4 linked regions of the Notamacropus eugenii genome follow. The protein of the gene in region 1 binds, or shares a complex with, the protein of each later gene. Links are inferred from orthologs where the notes say so. Each region holds a gene or a part of one and is shown in the gene's direction. Other genes may lie near its edges. The genes, in order: RPA1, HELB, ETAA1 and ATRIP.

Region 1 (7,377 bases):
GCAACCACACTGTGACGGGACACCACAGTGGGTGCCTCAGGGCAGGCTTCCTGCCCTTCTGTCACTTACATCCCCCTCTTTCCAAGGAAGATAGAAGAGGGAATGAATTCCTAGAGCACAGCTAACTGGTACAACTGCTGAGGTTTCTGGCTGCTGCTTGGCTAGTCCAACAGCTCATCATTCATTCAGCAAGTACCTACTACGTGGCACATAGTAGGTGCTTAATGAATGCTTATTGACTGGGGATCCAAAGACAAAAGCAAAACAATCTGCCCTCAGAGAGCTTAAAGTCTTTAAGGAGAGGGGATTACAAAGTACAGGCAGCTTCATAAAGAAGAGCACATAAAGTGCTTAGAGGCAGGAGGGGGTACTAGCAGCTGGGGGAGTTAGCAGGAAGGAAACTGGGCATTCTAACAAGTATGGCAAGGAGGACAGTGAAAGGATGTCAGGTCAAAGGCAATCACAAATAGAGTTTGGCAGAAATGAAGAGCTTGAGGAGGGGAATAACATGTCACAACCTGCCCCTGCAGTCCACAGAATCACAAAATCTCAGAATGGAAAAGGGCCGAATGCCACTGAGCCGGACTCCCCTACTCAGGATAGCCAGTGGGCATCCAACCCCACTTTGGCCTAGCTCTCGTTGCCTGTTCTGTCGTGTCTGACTCTTCGTGACTCCATTTGGGGTTTTCTTGGTTTATCATTTCCTTCTCCAGCTCATTTTACAGATGAGGAAACTGAGGCAAATAAGGGGAAGTGACTTGCCCAGGGTCACACAGACAGTGTTTGAGGCCTGATTTGAGCTTAGGTCTTTGTGATTTCAGGCCCAGTGCTCTAGCCACTGCACCAACTTAGCTGTTTTTCCTTTTATTAACTCTAAATCTGTATCTCTGCAACTTATACTGCTTAATTCTGCCTTCTAGGGACAAGCATCCCCATTCTAGTCTTCCACATGACTGCCCTTAACAGATGTTTGAAGGCAGCCAGCACATCCCTCTGGAGTGCTCTCTATTCCAGGCTGAGCAGCCCCAGTTCCTTTGATTCTTGTATGGCCTAGTCTCTGGGGAAACTGTTCATGGAGGGTGAAGCTCCCAGGAAAAAAAAAAAATCACCCCAACCCTGAATGTTCCCTCCTTATCTCTGCCTCCTACAAGCCGTATCCTCCTTTAAGACAGAGCTCAGGCACTGCTTCCTATTTGAAGTGTTTTGGTTCCCTGAAATGCTAGTACCCTCTCTCCTAAACTACCTTGTATTTAATTTTTACACACATATATTTATTTATTTTTATTTGTACCATATATCTCTTTAGATGTACTTGTCTCTCCATTGGATTTTAAGGTCATGGTGAGAAGGGAGTGTTTTATTCAGCCAACTAATATACTCAAGTTGGTCCAGATTAATCTGGATAGGGAACCTGGTGAAGTGGTCCCATTATTCACATCTGTACTGCACATTTCTACTGGGTGGGAACAATGACCATAGCTAACACAATCCTTACTCCAAACAGGGTCAATGTGAATACATACGACTGTTTCACAAGATTCATTATTCACATGAATCAGAACCTAGCTGTATTAAGTGCGTGCTATTGGCCAGGCACTATGCTAAGTGTTAGGGATACAAAGGTAGGCAAAAAAAAGCCAGTCCCTGCCCTGTGGAGATTCACAATCTAATGTAAATAACTGTACAAACAAGATATAGATGGGATAAATTGGAGACAATCAACAGAGGGCAAGCACTAGCATTACTGGGGACTGGGAAGGACTTTGTGTTGAGGGTGAGCCTTGGGGGAACCAGGTACAAGGGGTAGACATAGATAGCAAAAGGCTAACTTGGGCTCAGAGTATGGAAAAATTTCCCAGCAGTCAGAGCCCAGAGACTGGGCTGCCTTCAGGTTCCCTCTCAAAGGATGACTTCAATCAAAGGCTGTATTGCCGCCCATCAGGTAAGCTGTAGAGTCAAGCTTCTTAACTCAGCGTCTGTGAATACATTTTAAAAATTTTTGGATAGCTGCACTTCAGTGCAAGTGGTTTTCTTTGTAATCCCATGTGCTTGATCTTATACATTTAAAGCCAGAATTCTTAGAAGGGCTCCATAGGCCTCACCAGATAGACTGCTGCCCAAGGAGGCCAGGACCCACCAAAGGGGAAGCTCCCTGGTTGATGAGGGGACTCCTTTCATGTAATAGGTCCAACTAGGTGGTCATTGGGGCCCTTTGGAGCTCCCAAATTGAGGCTCAGTGAGTTATGTTTCGAGAGGTTCATCACCAGGATGGCAAAGGCATGTTGAATTTTTCAGCTGTAGCAATTCTCACAGACTTATCTACTCAGTTAAGTCACTAAGGGGCTGCAATCTCCAGAAGTGGAGGAGAAAAACCACATCAATGAAAGCGTAATCCTTGAACAACTGAAAAATCCCTAATGTAAATCTTTGCTTTCTTCCAATTGCTTGGTTCTAATATTAGCTCTTCTCCTAAACTGCTGATGTTGGGCCCAAGGATGGCTGAAATCCCTAAGACCACAATCACTCTACCCTCAAAGGAATGTGGCTCTGGCATCTCTTTTCAGAGGACTACCCTTCCCTAATTCTGCCACCTTTCACAGGTTGTCCCCCCCATACCTGCCATCATTCCCTCATCTCTACCTCTTCTGATCCCTAGATTCCTTCAAGGTTCAGCCAAAGGGCCTCCACCTAGATGACATCTCTCTCCAAACAATTTTGCTTTACTTTGCATGTACTTATATAAGCAATAATTGCACACGCCATAAAATGTAAGCTCCCGAGGCCAGGGACTTTCTGTCACTGCTCCTGGGTTTCCCTGCCTCAAGTTTCTCCCTACTCCATCCACCCTCCATTCAGACACTAAAGTGATCTTCCTTAGGGCAGCTAGGTGGTACAGTGGATAGAACACCAGTGCAGAAATCAGGAAGGCCTGAGTTCAAATGTCACCTCAGACACTTGACACTCATTAGCTGTGTGACCTTGGGCAAGTCACTTAACCCCAGTGGCCTCATCCTGGGTCATCTCCAGTCATCCTGATGAATATCTGGTCACTGGATTCAGATGGCTCTGGAGGAGAAGTGAGGCTGGTGACCTGCACAGCCCTCCCTCACTCAAAACAAAGTCAAGTGCAAGTCATGTCATCATTTCTCTGATGGACAAACACACACATGGCCCTCAAAGTGATTTTCCTAAAACACAGGCCATGTCTGGCCATGTCACCCCCCCCTACTCACTGGCTTCCTGAGACGTCCAGGAACAAATACAAAACACTGTGGCATTCAGAATCCTTCCTACCTTGTCCTTACCCACCTTTCCAGTCTTCTTACACCTTATTCCCCAATACATACTCTTTGATTTGGGGACCTTGGCCTCCCAGCTGATGCACAAACAAGATACTCCATGTCCCGAATTGTCTCTGCCCTCCCCCATGCCTGGAATGCTCTCCCTCCTCTGCTGTGACTACTGATCTCCCTGGCTTCCTTCAAGTCCCCAACAAAAGCCCAGACCAGCCCCTCCCCTCTTTTAATTATTTTCTATTTATCCAGTACCTTCGAACAAGGTTGTTCGCAGGCTCTCTTAAGTTCCTTGAGTGCAGGGACTGCTCTTTGGCCTCTCTTTGTATCCTGGCACACAGTAGGTGCTTAATAAACGTTTACTGCCTGTTTCCAGCACGTAGCTCTTAACTTCACAGATACTTGCGGACTGACCGCTTGTGATCCCCCCCTTCCTTAGGCTGCCGCTGAATTCTAGGACCAGAGGCTAAGGATGTTAATAGGGGCCCTCGGGTCGGGGCGCATCACACCCGTGGGATGGATTCTCCCCCAAAACAGAAAAAAGTGCAGAGAGGTGTCTTCACCCCACCGCGGGCTCTGGGCCCGGGGTCCGGCCTCTCACGTTTCCTGGCTGGGTGACCCGGGGCAAGTCGCTGAACCGCCGCCTGCCTCAGTTTCCCCGTCGGTAAAGCGGGGATCCTAACAACACCTCCCTCCCGGGGTTGTTGTGAGGACCCAGTGAGATCGTGCTGTAAAGCGCGCAGCCCCCAGCAGGCATGTAGTAGGCGCTCAATAAATGCTTCCTCCCTTCCCCTTTACAGCCAGAGGCTCACCTGGACAAGTCGCGGGCAGGGCAGCGCAGACCTCCCGGCTGGCCTCCCAGTCGCGCGTGGCTGCTCCCCGGCGTGGGCCTGGCTCGTTCGGCTGGAGTCACACGCCAGCCTGCGCTCCCGCCCCCCGGACGCTCAGAAATCCGGCCGGACGCCGGTGGGCGGGGCTTCACATCCTCCCCGCGCTCGGGGAGCCTCGGCCAATGGGCTGCCCGTTCGACTCTCTGAGCCCGCCCCCTACACCGCCCGCTTCCGGAGCGCGAGAGCGGCGCGCGCCAGGGCCGGGGCCGGGCCAATCAGATTTGAGCGCGCGGGAGAGGACCCCTTCCCCCCCCCCCCCCACCATCCCGGATTCCCGCTGACTCGGCGGACGCCGCTCGAACACACACCCGGGAACCTTGGGAGCGAGCTACCGGATCCCGGGCGGCCACGCAGCGGACAGCCATGAGCTGGCGCCTGAGCGAGGGGGCCATTGAGGTGAGGGGAGGTGAGGGGGGCGCGGAGCCGGCGGCTGCGGTGGCGGGACCCCGAGGAGGCGCAGGCCACGGGAGGGGGGTGGAGTCGGCGTTGGGGGGATCCCGCGCGCTCCTGGGGTGACTCTAGAAGAGGAGGCCTGTGCTGTGGGGAAGCGGGGCTCCCCGGATGTGGTGAAGACCCCGAGGGTCGGGGATGTCCGGAGGGCCCTCGGAAGTGTGGGGCCGTGTGTGGGGGGGGCGCAGAATCTGGTGACCCCCCCAGAGCCTCCCAGCCAGTGGTTTGTGGGAGCCCCCCGGGAAGGGGGAGCCCCGCACCCCCGAGGAGACGTCGAGCTGCCCCGGGGGCCAAGCCCGGGCATGCCCCCGGGGGGTGTCTAAGGCCGAGCACCCCGCCCTGGCCTCGGTCTTGGGGTTCGGGAGGCTTCCGCGGAAGGCTAAGCCCGACCCCCGCGTAATCCCTTTTATCAAGCAAACTCCTTTGTTTAGCGTTTAAAGTTCTTTCTAGTCCGGCCCCTTCCTACTTTTCCTGCCTCAGGCTTGACTTCCCCACTCGGCCCCCCTTCCCATTCCCACACTGGGGCCCACTTGGCTTTCCTCAAACGCAGCCCCCCCCTTGTGCCCCCGACATGCCCTGCCTGCCCATTTTCATCTCGTAGTTTTCCTGGATTCTTTTATTAAAGACTCAAATTTCCACTTATGCTGGCCTTTCTGGCCCACCCACCTGCTTAGCGTCCCCCCCTCAGATAATGTCGGATAACCTTCGTCAGGCTGTGGGTGCGAGGCAGGTACTTATCCCTTCTCTCCCCCCCACCCTCCTCTGTATTTATCTTGTTACCTACCTAGCTATTTACCTGTTGACTCCGCCTTTACAAGGGAAGCTCCTTCTGGTCTGGGGCCGTTTTTGTTTTGTTTTTTTATCTTCAGCACTTAGCATAACGCCTTGCCACATATTAAACCTTTAATAAATGCTTGTTGAGCATATATCAGATTGCATGCTGTCTTGGGGAAGGTTGAGGGAGGGGGACAAAGTTTAAAGTTGAAAAGCTGAATGTTGTAAACTCAAAATAAATAAATTTAAAAAAATAAATGCTTGTTGACTGAGTTCACTATTCTAGTTGTTTTCCTCTGGATGAATACTCTCAAATTCATTAAGATCCTATCTAAAATGTGACTCCAAGACTCTTTATTAGCCAGATATAGTCTGAACTAGGCAGAGTTCTGTGTTGAGTATTGTGTTTCTCTTGATGCAGTCTAAGATGGTGTGTCATCTTTTTTTAAAAGCTCATACCACACTGTTGATGCATATCAAGCTTACAGTCAATTCAATTTAACTTTTTTCACATGACCTGGTGCCTGTTGGTGCTTCTTTCCCCCATCTTGTACTTGTCAAGTTGATCTTTTAAAACTCAACGGTAAGACGTCATTCATCCCTATTAAATTGCATCTTATTTGATTCAGTAGAATGTTTATCCATTCCCTCCCAGCTCTATGTCATCTGTAGATTTGATGAGCATGTCCTTCTGTGCCTTTTCTTGTGATTGATAAGCACGTTCACAGGGTTCTCTGGGACACTTCATGGAGTACTTGACATTGAGCCATTAATGACTAGTCTTTGGGCTCACTCATTCAACCTATTTCCAGTTCACCCCACCTTAAGAGAATCTGTCATCCACATCTCTTCTGCAAGAAGAGCTTAACAGACTTCATCAAATGTTTTAGGAAAAAGAAGGCAAAAAAAAAAAAGGACTTACCATTAGTTGGCAGCACGTGTTCTTGAGGAAGCCATTGTGGTTTTTCACCATCACTTCTTTTTCTGGCTCTTCACTAACCATGGTGATTTTCATGGATCAGAGGTAAAGAGCTGGAAGGGGTCTTTGTAGAGTTATGTCTAGGCATCCTATTCTTTTCCTGAAAGCTTTGAAATTTGCTCTCCCACAATTCAAGGGGATATGACACACTAGACCATTTAGCTTCTTGTCTATCACAAATTCTAAGCTAGAATGGTCATTTACATTCCGGAAACAAGTTTTCTTCATTGATTCCTTTGCTTTTTTTGAAGGAAGAAGTTATTAAGGTAGGTTAAGTAATTTCTAGTTGCTTTGTTTTGGGCAAAGATAATTGGAGTTCCTCATCATAACCATATTATGCCTCAGAGCCAGGCTTGTGATTTCCTTATGTTTATCACTGTAAATAGCTATAGTCTGCTCTGTCTTTCTATGTAACTGTAGTCTATTTCTATCCCCGTTAATCTTCAAATGCCTGTTCTCCATCATACTTTTGTCCCTCTGGTTCCTGGATTTCCTCAAATTGGGTTATGTCTTTTGTGACCTCATCAACTTGCAAGAGTTTAATTCTCTTTGCCCTATGATTCCCAGATTTATATTTCTAGCCCCAGTTTTTCTCTTGGTCTCCATTTCCATATCACCAGTTGCCTGGTGGTGTACCTTAGCTGGATATTGAATTGGCATCTAAAATTCTGTATGTCCCAAAGAGAGTTTGTTTTCCCCCTCAAATCCATGCCAGTGTCTGTTTTTGCTTTTCTTTTTTTCCAAGTTTGAAGAAAAGTTAAAAAAAAAAAAAAGACTAGGGCTCTATCTTGTTTAGGCTGGAAGGACAAGAGCCACTTATGGGCCTGATCCCATTCTGATCAGCATGAGAGCTTTGACCTGCTCCATTTCTGACTTGGGCTGATTTGCTCCTTCTGAGACAACCTGGTGGCTCCTCACTCCTGAAGCTCCCTGTTTGCTGGGTTTTGTGCAGATACCTCAACTTAATGCATTGTAAGCCCAGGAGGTTCTT
Region 2 (7,219 bases), on another chromosome or scaffold:
ATATAAGAAATACATGTGTCACAATCAAGACAGATAACTGTCTGACCATACATACAGTTACCAGAGACAGAACAACTAACACCTGGGTTCTCAAAGCTGGGGTACTCCTTAGTGGCTGCCCAGAATCTCCTCTGGCCAAACAAACACTTGCAATCAGTCAGCCCCAAAGTAAAACCTCACCTCAGAGTATTTATATTTCAGAGCCAGAGGGCATCACAACAATAGAGAACCAGTGCCTCATTAACAAAAGCTGTGGGCCCTCCTACAAATCTTCCCAGGCCCATTAATGGGAAGGGAAGATCTTCTTTAATCACATTATTCAATAAGAGGCACTTGATTATACTAAAATAAAGAATGCATTATCACTACAAGTAGTGATATTGGAAGTTTGAGGTTAGAAAAACCTTGAAATAGCTTCTGTGAGGAATTTAACAATATATAAGAAGTGAATAAAAGAATTATTGAGTCAGTTGATGTTAAATTGCATGGTTTTACAATTGTCCTACTGGCATATTTTCAGTACTTCCTTTTAATACCATATTGGGCAGCCTGGGAAGAGAAAAAAGCAAATATTAAGGGAAACTCATGGTGGAGAGTGACAGCCATGGTGGAGGAAAAAGGACCCAGAGATGCTAGGTTCTAAGGAAGCCATAGCTAAAATAGACGATGCCATGCAGCAAAAGTTAGAAGAGCAAGTAAAGCCAGAATAGGTACTAATGAAATGAAAATAGAGGGACAAAGTGTTTATAATAAAAGCAAAGAATAAATTTAGTAGGTTTGAAGTCATGGCAAAGATTTTAGTTGAGAGAGGGGCAGGTCTGGGTTTCAGATGTTGGTTGTGGGTGATAAAAGAATCCTGAGATTCATCTCATTGTGCTGCTTTATACCTCATATATAGTTCTAGTTATGACACAAATATGTGAGTATATTTACATAAAAATTAAAAAGCAACAACTTTGGAATCTTCTTCAATAAAGAGGACATTTTGTTTAATTGATTTAGACAAATTAGCTCAATTATCCATACTAATGAAAGTGAGTGCTTTTTTGTAATGGAAAAAAGTACTGCACTGGGTTTGGATCAGTTGGCTTACCGCATGTAAGTCAGGAGGAAAGAGCTAAAGAAAAGATTTAGGTAGAAAGTATTTCACATTTTATATTTAAAGCATCCACATAGATGTAGAGAAAATGCTTTCACTGGGTGGGAAGGTTGGATTTTTTGATCTCTAAGAATATATGATTTTATTAGAGGTTTTATTGATCAAAATGGGACCAATAAGGGAGCTAAATGTGGCCCATTTTGTCTATATTACAATTGGTTTGGGGAAGTTTGTTTTTAATACTAGCTAGCAAAAAGGTGTCTTGAGTGATGCTTTGGACAGTCAGACCTTACTCTAATGCCATGTTCTTTCTAAGCAATCTTCTTATAGTAATTTTCCTAATAATTTTTCTTAGGGGAGGAGAATGTCCATTTAAAAATAGAGTAGCTTTTTTTTTTCAGATGAGTTTGCGCAGAATGAAATCATTTTCTCCCAACTCCTAAAAACAGATATAGAGGTTGTGGATTCTTTGGGAGCTGTGAGCTCGGACTGAAGAGGACAGAATGGAAATAGTTGATCTTGAGACACTCACTCATCCATCTATCTCAATATTTCTGCAGGGCAGGAAATTGAAGGGTAAGAATGATATAGATTAAAATAAAATGACATTTAGAATTGGAATCTCTAGGGTTAAAACATGCAACTGTGACAATAAAGTTCATTTTCATTTTTCTCTATGAGATTGTATGTAGCTTTTTAAGTAAAGCCATCTTTAACCAGATGATCCACAGTAACTTGAACCAGTAAAAGCTAGCTCAGAGGGATGTAAGCCTATCTATGTGTAATCTTACTGGGCATATAATAATCAAAGGGAGAGTAAAATATTTTAGCTGTCTGTGTGAAAAATGTCATGGCAATTATTTTTTTGGTCACTTGGATGGTTTAGGGGTGGTCACCAGCATTCAAAGTGCTTTGTGAGTACCTAAGGGGTGTAGGTAAATCTCCTTTACATGATATTGGGGGAACTTCCCTGAGAAAAAAGTTTGCAAGAAATAATGCTTTGGGTTAAATTTGTCCAAGATGAAGGGTTAAGTGGGGGAGGGGCAGGATATGACATGGCATAGATGCTGGAGGTTTGGGATGAAAATTGTTGGGGGTGTTAGTTACAAATTTGTCCATAATTATTCAATTATCTGGAAAGCATATATGAAAAATATATGCTCTGGAAATTATCCATAATGAGAGTAGGAAGTCAGCCATTTGGGACAAAATCCATATGAGTTAAATAACCAATTGATAAGGGGAATTTGGGAGCATTTACAAGGCAATATGTTTGTCAAGCAATTTGCTTAGCTAAAAATGCCCAGGTATAGCAAGTTCCTAAGACCATAGGTTATAATTTTTTATGGAATGGGATAATATATTTACATTGTATCTCATCAGATTAGCAGTCTTTGAATGCTAGTAACAATTGTGTTAACTGTTCATAAATGTGAAAAATATGATTGTGTCAGTGTTGTGGCTTTATAATTGAAGAGAGAACTGTAAGCTGTAAGGGACTCACTCCTTGTAGGAGAGAATAAAGCATTATCTTCACTCTCAACATCCTAGGGTAGGACTGATTGGGCAGGGTCCCTTAGACAGCAGTAGTTTTTCGAGTGACAAAACTTTTGCTATAGAAGGGCCATTTACTCTAAGGTTTGGAGTGAAACTGTGTGAGCCCTAGGTGGGGTAGTTTTCAAGGTAATTCAGGGCAAAATTTCAGGAGGTGAGAATTCAAATTAGAAACATCCAGGCTGTGATTTAATAATTAAAAAATGATTGTTTATTAGCAGGATGAGGTATCCTTTGACTCTTAGAGGGGAAAGAATTGCAGCTACCTTGGGGGTGATGAACCTTTAAAGAATATGAAGAAAGACACCATCTGCATTCAGGATGTTTTTCAGGAAAAGGAGATACCAAAGTTTTTTGGTGCTCCTTTCTCAGATCTGGATAGATTTTGAAAATGTCCAAGTCCAAAAGATGTACCATAAACTCTATAGTGGGATGTTCCCTGAGAAGAAAGAGGGCTTTCTAATAGTGCTTAACATCATTAAAAAATAATTTAAAGACAATTCTTTGTATTTTTGAAGCTTCAGAGGCAAAGACTTGTTTTAGGAAATGTATTTTTTCATAGGTTAACTCCATGGGGTACATATTCCTGAGGCAAATCATTCCACTGCTGGCCCACAGAGAGCTCAGACTGGCCCCCCAGTAAGTTATGGTGGCTCTGGCAAGGGATCACTACCATCTTTATTCTAGCTAGTTTGATCTTGCAGTTTGGTTCCCCTGGAGAACTACCTCTTGCTCAATGTACTGAGTTTGCAGGTCTAAAACTGCAGTTCACAGGCTCCCTACTTATGTGTTTGGATGGAGAGGTGTTGCTATCTTGTGTAGTCATCCATAGCAAACAAAATGGTTTTCACCATCCTTTGCTGTGAGTGGCAAATATCAAGATATATAGTGACTTAATTTGTAGGTCCCTGACTTGTGGTCAGTCCGGAAACCGGGACAGGAATTGGACCCGGTTAATTTCCCTGAGAAGGGGAACTCTTTCCAATGTGGGATTGCAACTTCTCCGCATTTTATTGTTTTAGAGAATAGTCTGGGGGCACTGAAAGATTAAGTGATTTGCCAAGGTCACACCAGCAGTGCGTGATGGTGGACAGCCTTGAATTTGGCTTCGGTGTCCTGAGCCTGGCTTTTTATCACTACATTACCCTGTCCAAAAGAAACTGAAATGGGTTACTAAAGATGATGAAAATCTTAGGAAATAACTGCCAAAGATGATGAAAATCTTAGGCAATGAATTTCCAAAGATTATGAAAATCTTAGGCAATGAATTGAAGACCAGGATAGAGAATGTTTTTCTCCTTGTTACAGTCTAACCTTGATTTACCCACTTGAAATGAAACCGTAACGTCTCCACCGTTACAGTAGCCAGCCGAGGGTAGGGATTGTTTCATTTGTATCCCCAACCAAGGGTAGCCCCGCCCCACGGCTCCCTAGTTGGGGCGGAGCCTCTTGCCTACACCCTCCCCCCTCCCTTTCCCGCTTTCTCTAGATTACTCCGATCTGGGCGGAGTCTGAAGGTTGAGGAATCACTTCTGAGTGACGGGAAGCATGGACCACGTGATTTCAGAGAACCTACAAACACCGCGTCTGGAGACTCTCACAGAGCGGGGGGTGGAATGCCTTCCTTTCCGGGAGAAGAGGGCGGGGCCAAGACGCGCTCTCTGATGGGCCGGGAGTTTCGGCGCCCTCGCTGATTGGTTGGGCGGCTCAGCGTCTCGGAGCGCCACTGTTTTGGTTCGGAAGTCGCGGGCGTGGGTAGCCGTCTGGTTTCGATTCGGCTCTCCCGACGATGGGGACGCTTCGGGTAATACGGGGCCTTCTGTTGCCGGACAAAAACGCGCAGGAGGAGGACGAAGGCGAGGAGCCTGTCGTGGAGGAGGACGAGGAGGACGAGCCGCTCTTCGTGGACGCCGAGGAGCTGTGTAACGGAGGGTTGAGGGCGGGCAGCCTCCCCTCGCGCAGCTGGGGTAAAGCAGTCGGGAAAGAGCCGAGGACCTGGCCTTGAAAGGCGGGGGGCGGCCGGGGATAGAGCCGGAGCTCCCATTCTGGGCCCTAGCTGTGGCCTGTGCCCCTCAACCCTTCTGGGCCTCAGTTTCCTCATCTGTAAAACCAGGAGGGCTCGAATGGATGGTCTGAGGGACCCCTCCAGCCCCAGGGCGATGACCCCGTGACGTATGTCCTCGAACCTCCCTTCTCCCCTCCGAGATGGGCGGGTGGGCTCGATAAAACCCCATCCAGCCAAGAATCTTACCCCCTGTGCTCATGAGTCCTCTCATTTTGTGTGAGATACGTATAAACATTGCTATTGAAAGGGGAAGCACTTATTATGCTTTTGCTGTATGCACTTAAAATATAAAGGCGTTTGCCTTTATGTATTTTAAATCATTTAATTTATAATTAAATATTTATAAGTTATTATTTGTACATATTACATAAATGTTATAATATGATAATATGTAATATATGTTAAATAGTATACATTATATAATGTGTAGTATAATGTAATATAGTATATAATATAAAGTAATGTAATATACAATATGTAATAATGTAACGTAATATATATTATACAACATATAATAATATAACGTGATATAGTATATTATATAATAATGTAATGTAGTATAATATCATATAGTATAGTATGCGTGTCATATAAATTATAATTTATTTATAAATTAAGAAATAAAAATAATAAAACAAATAAATTAATTAAATACTTTTATATTTATAAAATATAATGCAAAAGGAGAGCTGGGAAAGGGGGTTTGGGGGAGGATGCTCAGAAGCAACAAAAGAGATAATAGATAAAGAGAAACTTCATTTACCAGGGTCTGGAGATCCAAGGGTCTAGTCCAAGTTGGGGGATTTTGGAATGGGGATGACTGAGCGTAGACTACTTGGTGAGGAGATGGCCAGAAGTACTCCTAGAAAGGACTATGTCATTTGTCTGCCCTATAGATTTTACTCCTGATGATTCTGAAACCTCTCTTTCCCAGGCCACTTTTCCTATAGACTGGATGTCCCAAAGTCTTAGAGCAGTTTAAAGCTTCTTTTGAGACCTTCTATGTGTGTTGCTTCCTTTGGAATATAAACTCCTTGAGGGCTGGGAATGTTTCTTTTTTTTCTCTCCCCAGTGCATACATAATAAGCCAGGTTCCTGGCACTTAATGGTAAGCATTTGGCTAATGCTGTTAATTCTTTCAGCCATCTATCCATTCATAGGTATGTTTGCCTTCCTGATTAGATTGTAAAGGAAGGTGAATTGAAACTTGTTTATTGGTGTCTCGGAGGGAATCCCTGTGGAGTTGGAAAGAACCTTAAAGGTTTCATCTAACCCTCTCATTTGCAGATGAGGAAATGGACCCAAAGAGGGATAAGTAACTTGGTCCTTGCCCAAGGACATTTAGTTCAGTTTGGTGTAGTGAGGGATAAGAATCTAGGTTTGAATCCCAGAACTGTTATTTTGGGCTCTGGCTTTAAGCAAAGCAAAGGACTTTATTCAAGCACTTATTTGTGCAAGCTACGGTGCTAGACCTTGAGGATAGAAAGAAAAAAGAAAATGGTTTCTGCCCTCAAGGAGTTTCGATTCTGTAGCAGAAAACAATGAGTATCCTTAGAAATGGGTCCCTAGGTGGATAGCTAGTGGATGCAGTGCTGGGCCTGGAGTTGGGAAGACCTGAGTTCACACTAGCTTGACCCTGGGTAAGTCATTTAACCCTGTGCCTCAGGTCATCAGTCAGTAAAATGAGCCGGAGAAGGAAATAGCAAACTACTCCAATATTGTTGCCAAGAAAACCCCAGTTGGGGTGTCGAAGAATCTGACTAATGACTCAGAGAAAGAAACCCATAGAAATAATATGCAAATTGAACATGACTTCCTATTTTCTACTAATGTCGGTGAATAGCTACTCAAGTTTCTCGAGCAAAAGAGAAACATGGTTAGACATGATTCTTTTAGATAATCATTTCAGCTGCTGTTGGAAGGGTAGATTCAAGAGTGGAGAAAACTAGTACAAGGAGGCTGATAAAATCATCCCTGCAATGAGGCCCTCGTTTGGTTGTGGTGAGAATAGAAAAAAGATAGCTGGAAGAGTTGTTGAAGTGGTAGCCACCAGATTTGGTGGCGATGGGGACGTGGGCTATATGGAGGTGTGGGAGGGTAGAGAAGCAAGAATGACTCCTACTTTGAGAGGAAGAGTAAGTTAGGCAGAAAAGTGGGTTTGGGCACAGTTGATTAAGCTGACTGATCCTTAGTTTCCTCATTTGTAAAATGAATTCTAGTTAAACATCATGCATTTAAAACTGGAGAGAATATCTAGTTTATGGTCCATTGGAAAGTAATGGAGTTAGGATTTGAGTTTGAATCCTGTCTCTACCTGAATGTCCTTGGGCAAGGACCAAGTTACTTAAACCTCTCGGGGTCCATTTCCTCATCTCTAAAGTAAGAGGATTGGATGAGACCTTTACGGTTCTTTCTAAGTCTAAAACCATGATCCTATAAACAGCATTTTGTATTCTCACGTGTGTATATTCTCATTTTCCTATGAAAAGCTGTTTAGATTC
Region 3 (7,884 bases), on another chromosome or scaffold:
TACTAAACAGAGGACTATAGAAATATGAAAAATAGAAAAATATGTGCTACCTTTTGAATTATTTAGAGAACTGAGAGAGTTATTAAGGATGAACTTCTTGGGTTGTTTTGGGTTTTGGTTTTTTTTTTGTAAACAACTGAAGTTAGTCTTCCATTGCAATGGCAGAAATTAGTACAGTCAGTCACATGCTAGGAGTATTTAGCTAACATCCTGGCAAGTTCATCAGATGGCAGGTGGGTATAAAAGCAGACACTTCACAGAGTTTATTCTTTTAGATTGGCTAGGTGGAGGAGTAGGAGTATGGAATGTTTCACAGGTTGTCAGAGGTAGTTGTTGAGTCAGTTGGTATTGTTTAACTGCTTTTAACTGTTTTTCTTTGCACAGAGAGGGATTCACTGGGCTGGGGAGGAGGAGGGAAAAGGGAAGAAGAGAAGGAAAAGGTACAAAGAGCAAAACTTCAACTACTCCCTTCTCCATCTTCATGGGATATTGTCCTACCCAGTATTCATCATTCTCTTATTTAAGTTATAGTCTGAAGAAAATATGATTTTTATTTGGGGAGAGATGTTATAATATTAGTATTTAGCATAAAGCTAAGATATTGACTTCCATTCATTCATTCATTTACTGTTTGATTGATTGGTTTTGCCTTTTGTCAGAGAAATATCCTCACATTGGAAAAGGCAAGAGAAGAAAACAGTCAAAAGGAAATCAAAGATAAGAGAGGAACTAGGAAAGCACCTACTTACGTTCAATTATTTTCGTTACCCAACTAGAGATTACATCACAGGATTAGGAAAGAATTTATAAAGGCAGTCACTAAACCACTGTATGAAACCTTTGAGAAACTTTGGAGCACAGGAGAAATACCAGAGGCATGTGGACAATTTTCAAAAGGAGGGAACAGGTTGGATTCCGCAAACTGGTGAGTTTGATAACCCTGCCTGGCAACATGCCATAACTGATATTAAATGGATGGATTATGAGCATTTGGAAAGGTAGATGATGATCATTAAGTTTAGAACAAATTATCGCAAAGGTAGAGCCAAACAGAAGTAGCTTGTCCAATGTTACAATTCGAATAAGTGTCAGAGATAAAATTCAAACCTAGATTCTTTGATTTCAATTCCTATATTCTTTCTATTACCTAATACTGTCTCTATGACTGGAAATTATTTTTTGTGAAGGCAACGTGGTATAATGGAAAGACTGCTGAACCTGGGGGGGTTGGGAGAGACCTGTAGTTGAACTCCAGCTCCAACTCTCAGCCTTAGGCAAGTTACTTAAGGATTCAGAATCTAATTTCTTATCTGTAAAATGGCTTTGAGAATACCTGCCCTGCCTATCCCCTGGGGTTGTTGGGTGTAAATTCTGGCTGTTCCTACCACTCCTGCCATTTATGAAGTATCCAGTTCAGTGTGAAGCTATGTTCCCTTAAGATAAAGGGTGTGGCTTATCATCCAAATCCAACATACATTTATTAAGCAACCTCTACATGGAGCTAGGCTCTGTGCTAGGTATTAGGTAAATATGACACCATCCCCATACCCAAGGAGCTTACAGTTATCATTTCATCTACCATCACATCCCTGTCATCTGGCCTGACTACCTTCCTGGTAGGCCCCACCTCCTTAGATCCCACTCTGGGATCTAAAATGTTACTCCCACACTTTCCCCCTTTCCAATCAAAACAAGGCTACCCTTGTTCCTGGAAAGGGCACACACCAAACCAGAAGCTATTGCTCTAATTGTGTTGTTCCCAGCCCTCCTTGCCCCCACCCATTAGAATTGTTTTCATCCTTCATTGCTGAAGACCATGCCATCAGAGAAATGATGACAAGACTTGCACTTGACTTTGTTTTGAGTGAGGGAGGGCTGTGCAGGTCACCAGCCTCACTTCTCCTCCAGAGACATCTGGGTCCAATGACTAGATATTCAATAAGATGACTGGAGATGATCCAGGATGCAGAGGGAGGCCTTGGGGCCTTTAGGCCAAGGTCTTTGCAGGTATTCACTTAGGGTGAGGTAACACCCATTCATTGAATAGGCCTGTTTAAGAAGTAACTAGGGCATTGCCCCTTTAATGAGGCATAGAAAAAGAATCAGTTATTATTGATAATCACTCTAAAGCTAGGAGGGCCCATCCTGGGTCATCTCTAGCCATCCTGATGAATATCTGATCACTGAATTCAGATGGCTCTGGAGGAGAAGTGAGGCTGGTGACCTGAACAGCCCTCCCTCACTCAAAACAAAGGCAAGTGCAACTCATGTCATCATTTCTCTGATGGAATGGCCTTCTTTGGCAACAAAGGTCGTATATAATCCTGTGAGTAGACGCAGTTGGTTGAATGGGATCCCTGCTAGGTGGGTAATTCAGCTTCTCCTCTCCTGTCTGCCTCCCCCTTCTCTTCCTCCCCCTCTTCAAATGAAGGTAAATTTGGATGGCCAAAAGGTGCCCAGTTGGCTTGGGTTTTACTGGCCTCTTTCCTTCCTTTCCCTTTCCTTCCTTTCCTTTCCCCCTAAACTCATTACAATGGAAGCTCTTTCAAAGCAAGCATGGTTTCTCTTTCGTAATTGTATCTCCAGAAGTTAACTGTATCCCATAGGGCCAAGCACTTTTTTCTTTATTATTCATTATGATGACATTTATCAGATCCCTCTCCCTGCTTCAGTACCTAATGAAAGTAATCCTTGTTTAATGTCCAAAACATCATCCTTCCCCATGAAATCTAATCCTTTTTTAACTTCTTTATTTCTTTCTCATGGCAACATCATTGACCCTGATTCCCAATATCCATATTCAATCGGTTGAAAAGTCTTATAAATTCTACTACACAGTATCTCTTCCATCCCTTCACTCACATAGGCACCAGCCTAATTAATGACCTCATTACCTATTGCCTAGTGTTGTTCATTCATTACAATCTGGTCCAACTCTTCATGATCCAATTTGGGGTTTTCTTGCCAAAGTGGTTTGCCATTTCCTTCTCCAACTCATTTTATAGATGAAGAAACTGAAGGAAGTAGGGTTAAGTGAGCTGCCCAGGGTTACCCAGTTAGTAAGTTTCTGAGATCTGATTTGATGAGAACTTGGATCTTCCCAACTTCAGGCCCAGTGCTCTATCCACTTCAACACCTAGATGGATATATAAACCAGCTCCTAAATTTATGTGATCTGTGATCTCAGTGACTGGAGAGTTACTAACAAGGATGTGTATGACAATGAATGAATTCACTCTGAGCATCACTGAGAAAATCAGAAGTCAGAAAATCACTCTAAAAAATGATTTTTCACAGAGTGAAAATGAAAATCATTCTGAAAATGAAATCATTCTGAAAATTTGCCAAAGTTCTGGGGGCACATTTATGTCTATATGAAATCACCAAACCTTCTGTCTATATGAAATCAATGTAGCTCCTGGGGAAGAAACTTCCTTTAGCAATGTAGATTTTCGATTTCCCCAGAAATAATGCCCTTATTTGAGTAGCCTAGAAGCACACAGGGCTGCTGGGTGGCTCTGTGGGCCTAGAGGCAGGAACACAGGAATTCAAATCCTGTCCCAGGTAACAACAACCATGACCCTGGCCAAGTTACTTTACCTTTAGTGCTTCAGTTTCCTTATCTGTAAGCTGAGGATAATAATAATAACACCTATCTCCCAAACTGTTTTGAAGATAAAATATTTCTAAATAATATAATACTTTTAAAGATAACATTTCTAAAGATGTGCTTTGTGAACCTTAAAATCGGATATAAATGGTAGCTTGCACGTTATTTACCTAGGGCTACTCATATAATCAGTATGTAGCAAACAAGAGATATTAAACATTTAGGAATAAAAGTAAACTGTGTATGTCCTTCTGTATGCAGGTGTGCACACACACATGTACGTGTGCGGTACGTTGGCATGTAAGCGGTGCTCAAGAAGGGCTGGCTCCTCTGGTGCCAGGACTTGCCCAACTCTTTTCAAGGCTTTGGTGTCCCCTGGGCGCTCAGTTCTCACCTGTGGCCGCACCCAAGTAAAATTACCTTGGCAGGCAGGTTCAGCCAGGTTGGTTGGAGGGCCTGGCACCACAGGTGAGTTAGGGGGGTGTCTACCCCAAGCACGTGACGACCTCCCCTGAGGGAATGGCCGGATGAGAACAGTTTGCGCGAGGAGGGGCCTAGAGCTTGGTCAGGCGTTGAAGATACCAGGGTCATCCACGTGCCTGGGCCCGCTGCCCTGCCCTTTGTCCGGCCGCCCGGCCCGCCCGGGATGACCCTGGCAGGCAGAGTGGAGCTGAGGACTTTGTCCAGCCCTGCCTCCCTTAAACCCAGTTCCCACACACGCCGAGACCTCCCCGCTGGACATACCGCTACTCTGGTGTGCGTGTAGGGCCCGCACAGTGCGTGTGCAGATGGGCACGCTTCCGCACCAGCGGCTAGATAGCAAACCCACGCGTGTCTGTGGAAGCACAACACCCAGATGCGATTTGCAGCTGTGCAGCCCTCGTCCCGTGACTTAACCTCGCTGTAAACCTTCTCACGGTATAAAAGTAAGTTTAACAACCTCCGCCTGACTCGCGGGAGCATTACACGTGGCATGGGGTGTGCGTTGGGGGTGGGGGTAGTTTGGGGTGAATAACGTGCTTCGCAAACTTTGAAGCTCTTTATAGATGTCAGCTATTCTTGTGCTTGTAAGGGACCGAAGTTAGCCGCGTGAGGCCCTTGGGGGGGGGGGGGGGGGGGGACAGGAGGACACGCCCCACTCGGGGACACCGGGCAGACGGAGGAGTGCAGGACGCGGCTAGAGACAGCGAAGGGGAAAGGGCAACGCTCCTCCTCCGCTCTAACGGCAGGCAGGGAGCTCTCCTCCGCCCCCGGCCCGCGGGGCTGCGTGCGTACGTACGGCGTGACGTAAGGCCCTCATCCCGCCCTCCGGGGAGCGGCAGCCAATCATCAGCTTCCCTTTAAGCCGCCGGTCCGGTCAAGATGGCGAAGGCGCTAGCGAAGGCCCTCGCTTGGTGGTAGTGCCGGTGTTCTCCCCTGCCCCCACCTCCCGGGAAAGATGTGAAGGGAGAAGAAAGAGAAAGAGCACGCAGCGGGAGGGGGAGGCCCCGGCTGGGGGACGATGCTGAGTCGGCGGAGGAAGCTCGGCGGATCTCCCGGCCCCAAAGGGTCGCCGGCCCCGCCGCCTCCGCCGACAACCCCCTTGGCCGGGGATGAGGACAGGCCGCTCGGTGGGCCCGGGCGGCGTCTGCGGGGCCGGAGGCGGGCGCAGAGAGAAGTGGCCCAGGCTTCGGAGAGCTGCGCTCCTGTCAGTAAAAGTGCCGAGGGTGAGGCCTTGGGCGGCCCTGCCGACGAGGGGCCCACGCTGCTGCGGGGAGGCAGGCCGCACGAGCGCCTCCGGGGTTCAGGATGGGGGCGCCCCGCTCGTTCACTCAGAAAACACCCCTTCCCTTCCCGCGGACGAGCCTGAAGCGCGGTGCGGCCCTCGGACGGACGCCCGGCCTGGGGCCCCGCGGCTTCCGGCGGGCTTGTTGGGGGAGGGACGGAAGCCTTGTGGCCCGCCGGGTGCCCCGACCTGCTTACCCCAGACGCCGGCCGCAGCCACGTTGGGATGGGTGGGTCCGGGGGAGGGGAGGGAGCGCCACGTGCCCGCCCCAGCCCGCCCTCCCCCTGGGGCGAGGTGGGAAGACGCCTTCCTTCACAAGCGTAATCACGAGCTGCACGCAGGTGGTTGTCTCTGGAGTCCCAGAGTCTTCCTTGTTCTTTTAAATTTGCCTTCGAACATGCAGCCAATGTTCCAGTTAAGTGTTTTTTACCTATGAACCCCGGTAGTGTACACGTGCTTTTTAATCCTATAAGGGAAGAAGTTTTTTTTAGGACAACTTGTAATATTGAGGTTTTCGTCCTCGAGGTGTAGTGGTTCAGATTCTTAACCCCTTCTCCCGAAACTGAGACATTAGGTTATAAATTCAAAAGTGGGGAAAATTAAATCCATTTAATAGAAGAACCCGCCATACAACCCCTGATAGGAGAGTGTGTGTGATGCTCATATTGTATATGTGTGTGTGGGGGGAATATCTTTTTGATTCTTAATAAGTATTCCAAAATCTTTTTGAACCAGAAACTTATAAAATGGTTCATTGATAATAAATAAGAAACTATTGACTTACACATACACACATATATGTATATATGTGTTACGTATGTGTATGTATGTATGCACACATATATATGTATGTACATATATGCATATGTGTGTATATCTGTCTGACTGCACTCAAATATGTTTCTGGCCAGGGATGCAGAAATATTTAGATTTTCCTGGTGTTTAGTTATACATTGATATATAAAACATCACAACCTTCTTTATTGTTTTGGAAGGAAATTATCACCATATCTACAGAGTAACCCAATCAAAGCTATTTAGTTATTGTATTGCTCATATAAGTAGTCCTTTAAATGTAATGTTTATTTTAATTATATCTTATATTTATACAGAAATGTGCTTGTATAAAACTCCAAAGAGATTGTTGCAATCCAGTTTTCGATCACCTGTCTTCAGTTCCCCATGTAATGATACTGATGGACAGCAAGAAATATTTTGGGATCCAAATTCTCCAACGACCTGTCGATTAGGTAACTTGTAATTGGAAAAAATTTATATAAAACTGATTTTTTATAATATTTGATAGTTGGGCTTGAATGGTAATTATTTGGTAAGTGAGGTCAGAAACTTGTACAGAGCAAATATTTTTATGACAATATTGATCCTTCTCAAAAGCATACTGTGGTATGGACTAGTCATGGACTTAAAGCAAGCTATTTAAATTCCTTTTTCAAAGGGTCATAGTATTAACAACTTAAATGTTCTTTCATAACTTATTGAAATGCTTTTTCGTTTTTAGATGAAAGAAGAAATAAAAAGCTTGACAGGAGATGTAGTGTTGCAATTTCAGATATTGTTAACCGTATTGCTCCTAAGGTAAATACAATTTAATAACTTTATAGTTTGTTACTGAAACACTTATTAACTCAGTATATCTAGTCAAGTCACTTAATGTCTGGGAGCCTCACTTCCCTTATCTGTAAAATGGGTATCATTCTCACATTGTCTTTCCCAAGAGATTGCTGTGAAGAGGGACCTTTGTAAACCATGAAACACTATATAGTTGTTAAGTAGGAAAAGGTTTCCCAATATTATGTTGCCCTTCATACAAATAATTATTTTCTCACCTCTGTATTTAAAATAATGACAAGAAGGATTACTTTGTAGACCTGTGTTCTCAGCTCTACTTGTAAGGGATGTTTTAGGTTTAGGATTCTTGTTCAACTGCCAGTTAGACTAAATGACCTTTATAGTCCCAACTCTGAAATTCTCTGATTGGCTTATGTTAGTTCATATAAACATTGTCAAAATCCCTCTGATTTTTTTTTAACTAATTATCGTGTTTTTCAAGTTCTAGATAGAACAGGAAACTAAATCTAAACAACATCATAAAGTATTTGCCTATATCTACACCAGATCCCTAACCTCCATCTACTCAGAAATGTTGTTCTTAATACTGATTCTTAAAGACCTTAGTTGTGTGTTAGAATCTTTTACCAAATGAAAGTTTTTACAAAAATTGTATTTCCCTCTTCTCCCTTCAGTTCCTGTTACTAGTATGAGTGAAGTTAAAATGCCAAATATCTGTAATGTCAGGAAACAATTAAATCATGTCCTTTATATTCTATTAGATTGTCAAGAAATAGTAACAACTCAGTGGAAGATTCCTTTTGTCTTAAAACTAAGCACTTATATCTGCCTTTTTGCCATTTTTCTGTAGGGTGTCCACACTGAAAGAAGCACGATGTATATTCACTAGTAGGTGATAGCATCTTCATCATATGCTTAA
Region 4 (7,091 bases), on another chromosome or scaffold:
AGATATTAGGCCTGGAGTTGAGCAACCTGGGTTCAAATATCATCTAACATTTACTAACTAACTGTGTGGCTCTGAATAAGTCATTTAACTTCTGTGAACCTGTTTCCTCATTTGTGTGGGGAGGATAATACTTGCCTTCCACTTTTCATAAGATTACTATGAGGAAAGCATTTTGTAAACTATAAGGTGACACATAAATGTAAGCTATTAGATTTCTTTTGTTCAGGGAGATAAATAGAAGTGATCACATTTCAAAAAGATTCTCTGGGCCAAAAAATCCCAATAACTACAGCCTTTCTGCCTAAAACCTATTATTCACAATTTGAAATAATTTTTCAGACCTCTTATTTTCTCTATTTTTCTTTTTAAGTATATCAACTAAAACTTAATGTATGCCAGTATGTAAGACATAGTCATTGTAAAACATTACAAATTTCTAAAAAATTTTAACTTAACATTAAGCTTGCAGAAGTAAAAGAACACTTTTTGAGCTGCCTGCTATGTACCTCATACTGATGATACAGAAGTGAAACAGTCCCAGCCTTAGAGCTTATGAACAAACTACCAGCATGCTACAGTGTTTACAGAGAAGTACAGAATACGAATAAAATAAATACACAGAAAGACTTCTTAAAGGAGAGGGCACTGGAACGAAACCTTGAAGGAACTGGAAGTTTCAAGAAGTGGAATTGGGGAATGAGATCATCTCAGTATGGCAAAAGCCAGGAGGCAGAATGTCCTAAAGAGGAAGTGGGCCAATTTATTAGTAGTGATGAGTCCAGAGGGATAATCATCAGCCTGGAAAGAAATGCTGAAGCCACTTAATGAAGAACTTCAAATGCCCAACAGAGAAGTTTGTCATTTATCCCCAAAATAATGGGGAGCTGCTGAATTCTTGTGCAGAGGAGTAACACGGTCAGAGAGATGAATTTGGCAACAGTGGGGAACCTGCCACCTTGGCAGAGTTCTGTGAAGTTAGGATTCAGCCACTTGGGGACTTAGAGGGCCACATGTGACCTCATGGGTTTCTCACCCACAGGTTTCCCACCCCTGGGTAGCATATGGAGGAGATTTGGGAGAGGCTAGGTACAGAGAGACCAATTAGGCTATAACAATAATCCAGGGGAAAGGTGTTGAAGGGTTTGTAGCTCGGGTGGAGAGAAGGGAGTAGATGTGAGAGCTGTTAAACTTCCTACTTAGTGAGTGGGTCATGTAGGGTGGAATTGCAAATCTAGCTAAAATCAAGATAAATCATCTGGGCTTAGTGGTCCTGAGATGAACCCCTCAGCATTCTTCCCTGTCTAGAGTAATATTTCCTTCTCTTACAGCCAGTGGTGGCATTAAGAAATCTGGCAAAAAGTAGACGTTCCTGTGTAGATAAAATGGTGATTCCTGTTGCTTTGTGACATCTGCATTTCCTACTTCAACATCTGTTGCCGCCTGCAGTCAAGATTAAGTGTCATTTTAATGAGTCTTGTACATTGTAATAAACTTTTTTTAAAAATCATAGTGATGACTCACGTTGTCTTTATTTTTTTTTCCATGTCAGCTCTTCCTAATTCAGCTAGGATGACCTGACCCAGTCTAGAAACTGTCCTCTGCCATAATCTACTTGATATGCCTCTGGGTTAAACAGCAGTGTACACAAAAAATTAAACAAGATGGTTGAATGTACTCTTTTTCTTTGGCGTTATGTTCATTAATCGACAGCCTGTAGATCAGGCCTGCACAACCTGCCGCCACTTACGGCACACAAAATGTACAGGATGTTTTCCTTTACATTTTTCTTGTGCCACCTGAAATCCTTTGGTGTGCTGCAAGCAGCCGGTGGGCCACAGGTTGTGCAAGCTTGCTCTAGATCCTGAAGAGAGGAAACCAGGGAAGAGAGAAACTCTGGGAAGAAGGCATAGCTGAAGTTTTAATCCATTTTGTCCTGAGGTCATTTCAGTGTTTTAAACTGAACTCAGTTCTAGAAATCTTGGCCTTGGTGGTCATTTTATCAATAAAAGTCCCCACCCACCTAGCCCACAGTGGATGTAATAACTACCCAGGAACCCTAAGGGTCTTCCCCTCCCAGTTTGATTTTTTTTTTTTATTAAAGGGACCATCCCTTGAGTAACTACTTAAAGAAGCCTATCCATTGAATGGGTGTATCACTCAAAGTGAGAATGTAATAAGATCTCAGCCTGAAAGGGCCAGGGTCTCACATGGCATACTGGGCCATCTCCAGTCCTCCTGATGAATATCTGGCCACTGGACCCAGATGGCTCAGGAGAAGAAAGCAAGGTTGGTGACCTTGCACAGCCCTCCCTCACTCAAATCAAAGTCAAGTGCAAGTCATGTCATCATTTCACTAATGTCATGATCCTTTTCGAGAATGAAAGGCAAACCAACAACATTTATAAAGGAGCCTACTCTAAAGAGCCTGGCACTCTGCTGAGCACTAGGAATACAAAGGAAGGCAAAAAGCCAGCACTGCTTTCAAGGAGCTCAGTCTAATGGGAGAGACAATATGCAAATAACTGTACAAACAAGATACTGTACAATGTACTGTGCTATGTACAAACGATAAATTGGGCATAGTTTCAGAGGGAGGACTGGGGAAAACATGCACAACATGGAACTTTATCTGAGACTGCAAGGAAGCCAGGAAATAGAGATGAGGAGGGAAAGAGTTCCAGTTGTAGGGAGAGGGCAAGTGAAAATGCTCCAGAATCAGAAGATGGGAGTGTTGAGTTAAAGGAACCTCTAGGAGGCCAGTGTCATTGGAATGTAAAAAGAATGGAAAGGTACCACAGTCTTTAAGGTACAGGGAGCTGCTGGAGTTTGCAGCAAGGGATCTTGTCATTTTTTGGTGTCATGGACCCCTTTGACAGTCTGGTGAAACTGATACAACCTTTCTCAATAAAGATTTTAAATGCATAAAATACTAAGCATTTATTAAGTGCTTAATATGGGTCAGGCTTCCAGCTAGGTGAAAACTAGTTCTTGTCATTCTGATGGGGAGAATATGCAAAGAACCACATGCATTCCAGATAAACATAGGGTAGTACATGGGCAGTCATCTCTGGGAGGAAGATATTGGGGGATGGGGAAGAGACCTGGAAAAATCTTACAAAAGATGGGAATTAAAGTTTTAAGGTCACAGACCGTGTCTTCTTTCTCGTGACTAAGGATGTAAATGTTTTGCATGACTGCCCATCAAATTGCTTACTGTTTCAGGGAGGGCTACGGAAAAGAGGGGAGAATAACAATGTTTTTATGTGTTGGGGGAATTTTTCAGAAACATAAAAGTTCACAGATGTAGAGTTAAATCTGGGCATGCTGTTTTGTAGTATTTGTCATTTATCCCAACCAGACGGTGTTCCACCTAGGCAAGGGGGGCACCCCAGGCAGACATCCACTGTTACTTGGGGGCAGGGACCTCGGGGCGCCTCCCTCCCCGCGGCTCACTTTGGGGTCTCCCGGGGCCATGGAAGCTTATGTAAATAGATGACGGTCACTGCTGGAGCAGCGGGGCGCGCCCCGGAGCTCTGCCCCCCGGCCCACCCAGCCCCGGGAAGACGTCAAGCTCTCCCGGGGCCCTCGGTGCTACATTCGTCCCCTGGAGCGAATGAATGAATGGAGTTACGGAGCTAGGGCCGGCACGCGGGGCACAGCGCGGGGGCCTCCCTCGGGCCGCCCCGCCGGAGTCGGCGGCGGAGGGGACGAAGCTGCAGCCGGACGAAGGGTTCGGTCCCGGGGGAGATGACGTTCCCGGGAGCACGGCCAGCCCCGCCCGGGTCTCTGGAAAGGGCAGCCTCGGCACCGGCTCCCGAGGGCCCTGCGGGCCTCTGCGCCGCCCGCCCCTCCCCCGACCGCTTGTTTCCCACAATCCTTCGCCGCCGCAGCTGCCAAACTTCCCTCCCCTGGGGATCTCAGGCCAGCCCCGCCGCGGGACCCAGCTTCCCAACATCCTTACGTCATCATCGCGCGCTCAGGACACGGCCGCCGGCGATGCTGTGGCGTCATCGGGGGGCGCCCGCCTACAGATCCCCGAGACTGCCGGGAGCTGCACCTCGCCCCCAGAGCCCGGGGCCTGATTGGTCGATGGGGCCGAGAGGCGGGTCGTGTGCCGTGATTGACAGGGGATGGTAGCGGCGGCGGCAGAACTGAGGTGAGTGGCCGACTCGAGTCCGGGAGCGGTCTCGTGTCTCGGGATGCGCAGAGAGGTAGGGGAGGCGTGCCGGGAGGAGGGATGAGGGCGCTGGCGGGACGGGGAGGGGGCCGGTGCGGGAGGGGTGTCGGGGGAGGCCGGCGGGAGCGCGGGTGGGGGAGGGACGGAGCAGGCATGGGGGCAGGGAGGAGGGCAGGAGCGCTGTCGCCACTCGCACCCTCCCACCACTTTCCCCCCCAGGAACCTTGGGGGTGCCGAGCCTTTTGTCCACAAGAGCCATGGCGGGGAACTCCGGGCAGCGCTTCCTGGGGGGCAGGAAGCGCACCCCCTCGCAGTCGCACCTCGGCCGGGACGCCAGGGCCGACCCCCCGCGGGGCTCCCCGCCCCAGAAGCGCTCGCGGAGCTGGGACGTGTCCGACTTCCAGGACGCGGAAGACTCCTTTGGCTACCACGAAGAGTTCACCGCGGACGATCTGGAGCAGATCGACATCATCGCCTCCCAAGCTTTGACTCAAGGGGTGGACTGCGCAGCCCTGCTGAACGCCGGTTCTGCCGCCAGGCTCGCCTCCCCCTCGGCCGCCGGAAGCTCGAGTCCGAGCGCGGGGCGTTCGCAGCCCCCCCGAAATGACGGCGCGGCCGGACCCCCCCTCGGTACGTGCGCGGCTGTGGACCTTGGGCATGCAGTCGGTAGCGCTAACGATAGCTCCCTTGCGGAGCGGGGTCCCTTTCCAAGGTGCCGTGCGCTCGCTGGGTCCCTTGGTCCTTACGCAGCCCGCTAGGTAGGTACTACAGGTATTGTTCCCGTTTTACAGGTGGAGGAGCCTAAGTCCAGAGTGTTTAAGTGACTTGCCAATGGTAACACAGCTAGTAAGTATATCAGAAGCAGGGTCTCTGACTGCTAGTCCCCTCTACCTCGCTCTCTTTCCGGGACTAGACATGCTTCAGTGATACCGGTATCCCATGGGCAGGCTGACAGGATTCATCTTAAAGCAGAGTCCGGAAAAGAGGAGCACCATAAGTTTGACTCTGGAATAAAATTACGCATGTTTCTACAGGTTTACTCACCTTCCTGACCCCTCTCATCTCACGCAGGCACTTTGCAAGTTGGGAATAGGTTGTATTGCAAAAGCTTGTATTTCCAGTCATCCACGGCTTGCCTCTAAACGTTGTCTCAGGTACTAGGGAAGTGGTTAGGTGCGCAGGCCATCTCACCAAAGCCTAATACTGATGGCACCATAAAATCAAACCACCATCTGGTTTTATTGGAAGTGGAGTTTTAAGGGCACTGACTCCTTGAGACACCAAAGCGCCATCTCTGTCAGGAGAATGGATGTAGGGTAGAGGAACGTAGGGGATCATTTGTAAACTGAGTATCTCCTTAAGCTGGGGGTGCCCTGCAGGTTATTCATAGTGACAAATGATTCTTTTCACCCTATCTAGATTCAGATTTAATATAAGTCAATTCTTACTGGCAGGAATCCCTAAGTTTCCTGAGCAAGACGGACTGTCCAGAAGTAAAAATCCGTCAGAGAAAAGCAGAGAAAAGATTCCAGCGGTTGATGTTTCTGAATTAGAAAAGCTTAAAACACAACATGAAAAACTAAAGGAAAAGGTAAGTGACACGGACCGTTCTTAGCTCTTAGTGTTTCAGATTTGAGCACTCACTCCCCTCCCCCAACCCTACTCCATAAAACCTAGTGGCTTCTTTTGCCTCTAGGATCAAACCTGTGCAGTCCTCCATTTAACGTGTAAAGCTCTCCTCAACCTGGCCCCTCCTTATCCTTTTAGTCTTCACATTCTTCTGACTCCAGCCATACTGGGCTGCTCACTGTTCCCTCCCCCTTCCTTTGCGTTGACTCTCTCCCATAACTGGAATGTATTTTCTGCTTCCTATCTCCCATAGGACTAGAACGAATTCTCTGCTCACTTGCATACCTTAAAATCCTTGGCTTTCTTTAAGACTTACTTCAAGTGCTACCTTCTACAGGAGACTTCCTGGTCCTCTTTGCTGCTAGTACATCCTTTCTAAATGTGCCTTGTATCTACTTTGTATATATTTTGTGTATACCTATATATGGACATGCTGTCTTCTCAGTAGAATGTAAATTCCTTGAGGAACCATTTTTGCTATTTCTTTGTATCCCTTGTGTTTAACATAGCACCCAGCACATAATAAACACAGAAATACTTGTTGTATTATTTCCTGTCCTGTTACTGTGAAGCCAGTTTAGTAATAATAGTAGCTCACCTATGTATTATGGTCTTAAGATTTACAAAATTCTTTCTTCACAAAGACCCTATAAATTAGGTAATGGAAAGATCCTTAATCCCATTTTACAGATGAGAGAACTGGAGCTCTGAAAGATAAAATAACTTGCTTGAGAGCATATAGTAGACCCTGAGTCTTTTAGCTTCAGTTCCAGTACTCTTTTCCACCATGTTGCCTTTCTTTGGTTTGACTCATGGCTCATCTGTAAAGCCAGTTCAGAACCATGTCTTGATTAAGAGATAAACTAGACAGCACACTCTTTCTCTACCGTCTTAACCATCAACTCCAACCTTTTGTGTCCGTCTTCTGACTTAGATAAGCTGAGCTCTCTGAGTGACTTCAAAGCTTTTCATTTCAACAGGATTTTCACAATCGATGATACCCTAAGCATTGCATCAATATTTAGTCTGTGCTGTTGGTCAGTCATGTCCAACTCTTCATGATCTCATAAAGTTTTCTTGGCAAAGATACAGGAGTGGTTTGCCATTTCCTTCTCCAGTAGATTAAGATAAACAAAAGTTAAGTGACTTGCCAAGGGTCATGCAGCTAGTGAATGTCTGAGACTAGATTTGAACTCAGGTCTTCCTGACTCCAAGCCCAGCACTCTGTCCACTGAGCCATCTAGCTGCTTGCTTAGTTTGTGCTGGCATATATGTTTCATTGCAC

The links.
Region 2: the proteins of RPA1 (region 1) and HELB are in contact, whole or in part, in a crystal structure (PDB 7XV1), measured with the Homo sapiens proteins. The link is inferred for Notamacropus eugenii from reciprocal best matches to the Homo sapiens genes RPA1 and HELB. Residues at the interface, in NP_002936.1 of Homo sapiens: Asn29, Ile30, Arg31, Ile33, Arg41, Arg43, Leu44, Leu45, Ser54, Ser55, Met57, Ala59, Thr60, Gln61, Arg81, Ile83, Asn85, Leu87, Arg91, Val93, Ile95, Met97, Glu120; in NP_001357214.1 of Homo sapiens: Glu496, Glu499, Val500, Lys502, Ala503, Cys504, Asp506, Phe507, Glu508, Asp510, Asn512, Ala513, Glu516, Trp517, Thr519.
Region 3: the proteins of RPA1 (region 1) and ETAA1 are in contact, whole or in part, in a crystal structure (PDB 8JZV), measured with the Homo sapiens proteins. The link is inferred for Notamacropus eugenii from reciprocal best matches to the Homo sapiens genes RPA1 and ETAA1. Residues at the interface, in NP_002936.1 of Homo sapiens: Arg31, Ile33, Thr34, Pro39, Arg41, Arg43, Ser54, Ser55, Met57, Asn85, Leu87, Arg91, Arg92, Val93, Ile95; in NP_061875.2 of Homo sapiens: Thr599, Trp600, Glu601, Ala602, Asp606, Asp607, Leu609, Leu610, Tyr611, Ala613, Cys614, Asp615.
Region 4: the proteins of RPA1 (region 1) and ATRIP are in contact, whole or in part, in a crystal structure (PDB 7XV4), measured with the Homo sapiens proteins. The link is inferred for Notamacropus eugenii from reciprocal best matches to the Homo sapiens genes RPA1 and ATRIP. Residues at the interface, in NP_002936.1 of Homo sapiens: Ile33, Thr34, Arg41, Arg43, Ser54, Met57, Thr86, Leu87, Lys88, Asp89, Arg91, Val93; in NP_569055.1 of Homo sapiens: Gly53, Asp54, Phe55, Thr56, Asp58, Asp59, Leu60, Glu62, Leu63, Asp64.

What each region holds. Positions count from the first base shown.
Region 1 is NC_092873.1:39,858,870-39,866,246, forward strand, and holds the start of RPA1 (replication protein A 70 kDa DNA-binding subunit), read left to right. Parts: upstream 1-4,363; 5' UTR 4,364-4,546; coding exon 4,547-4,579; intron 4,580-7,377. UniProt on the Homo sapiens protein: As part of the heterotrimeric replication protein A complex (RPA/RP-A), binds and stabilizes single-stranded DNA intermediates that form during DNA replication or upon DNA stress.
Region 2 is NC_092874.1:243,294,573-243,301,791, forward strand, and holds the start of HELB (DNA helicase B), read left to right. Parts: upstream 1-4,204; 5' UTR 4,205-4,442; coding exon 4,443-4,620; intron 4,621-5,339; exon of another isoform or gene 5,340-5,826; intron 5,827-7,219.
Region 3 is NC_092872.1:636,297,159-636,305,042, reverse strand, and holds the start of ETAA1 (ewing's tumor-associated antigen 1), read left to right. Parts: upstream 1-4,872; 5' UTR 4,873-5,111; coding exon 5,112-5,316; intron 5,317-5,572; exon of another isoform or gene 5,573-5,701; intron 5,702-6,487; coding exon 6,488-6,625; intron 6,626-6,894; coding exon 6,895-6,971; intron 6,972-7,815; exon of another isoform or gene 7,816-7,853; intron 7,854-7,884. UniProt on the Homo sapiens protein: Replication stress response protein that accumulates at DNA damage sites and promotes replication fork progression and integrity.
Region 4 is NC_092872.1:14,535,846-14,542,936, reverse strand, and holds the start of ATRIP (ATR-interacting protein), read left to right. Parts: upstream 1-4,075; 5' UTR 4,076-4,156; exon of another isoform or gene 4,157-4,211; intron 4,212-4,396; 5' UTR 4,397-4,434; coding exon 4,435-4,807; intron 4,808-5,631; coding exon 5,632-5,768; intron 5,769-7,091. UniProt on the Homo sapiens protein: Required for checkpoint signaling after DNA damage. Required for ATR expression, possibly by stabilizing the protein.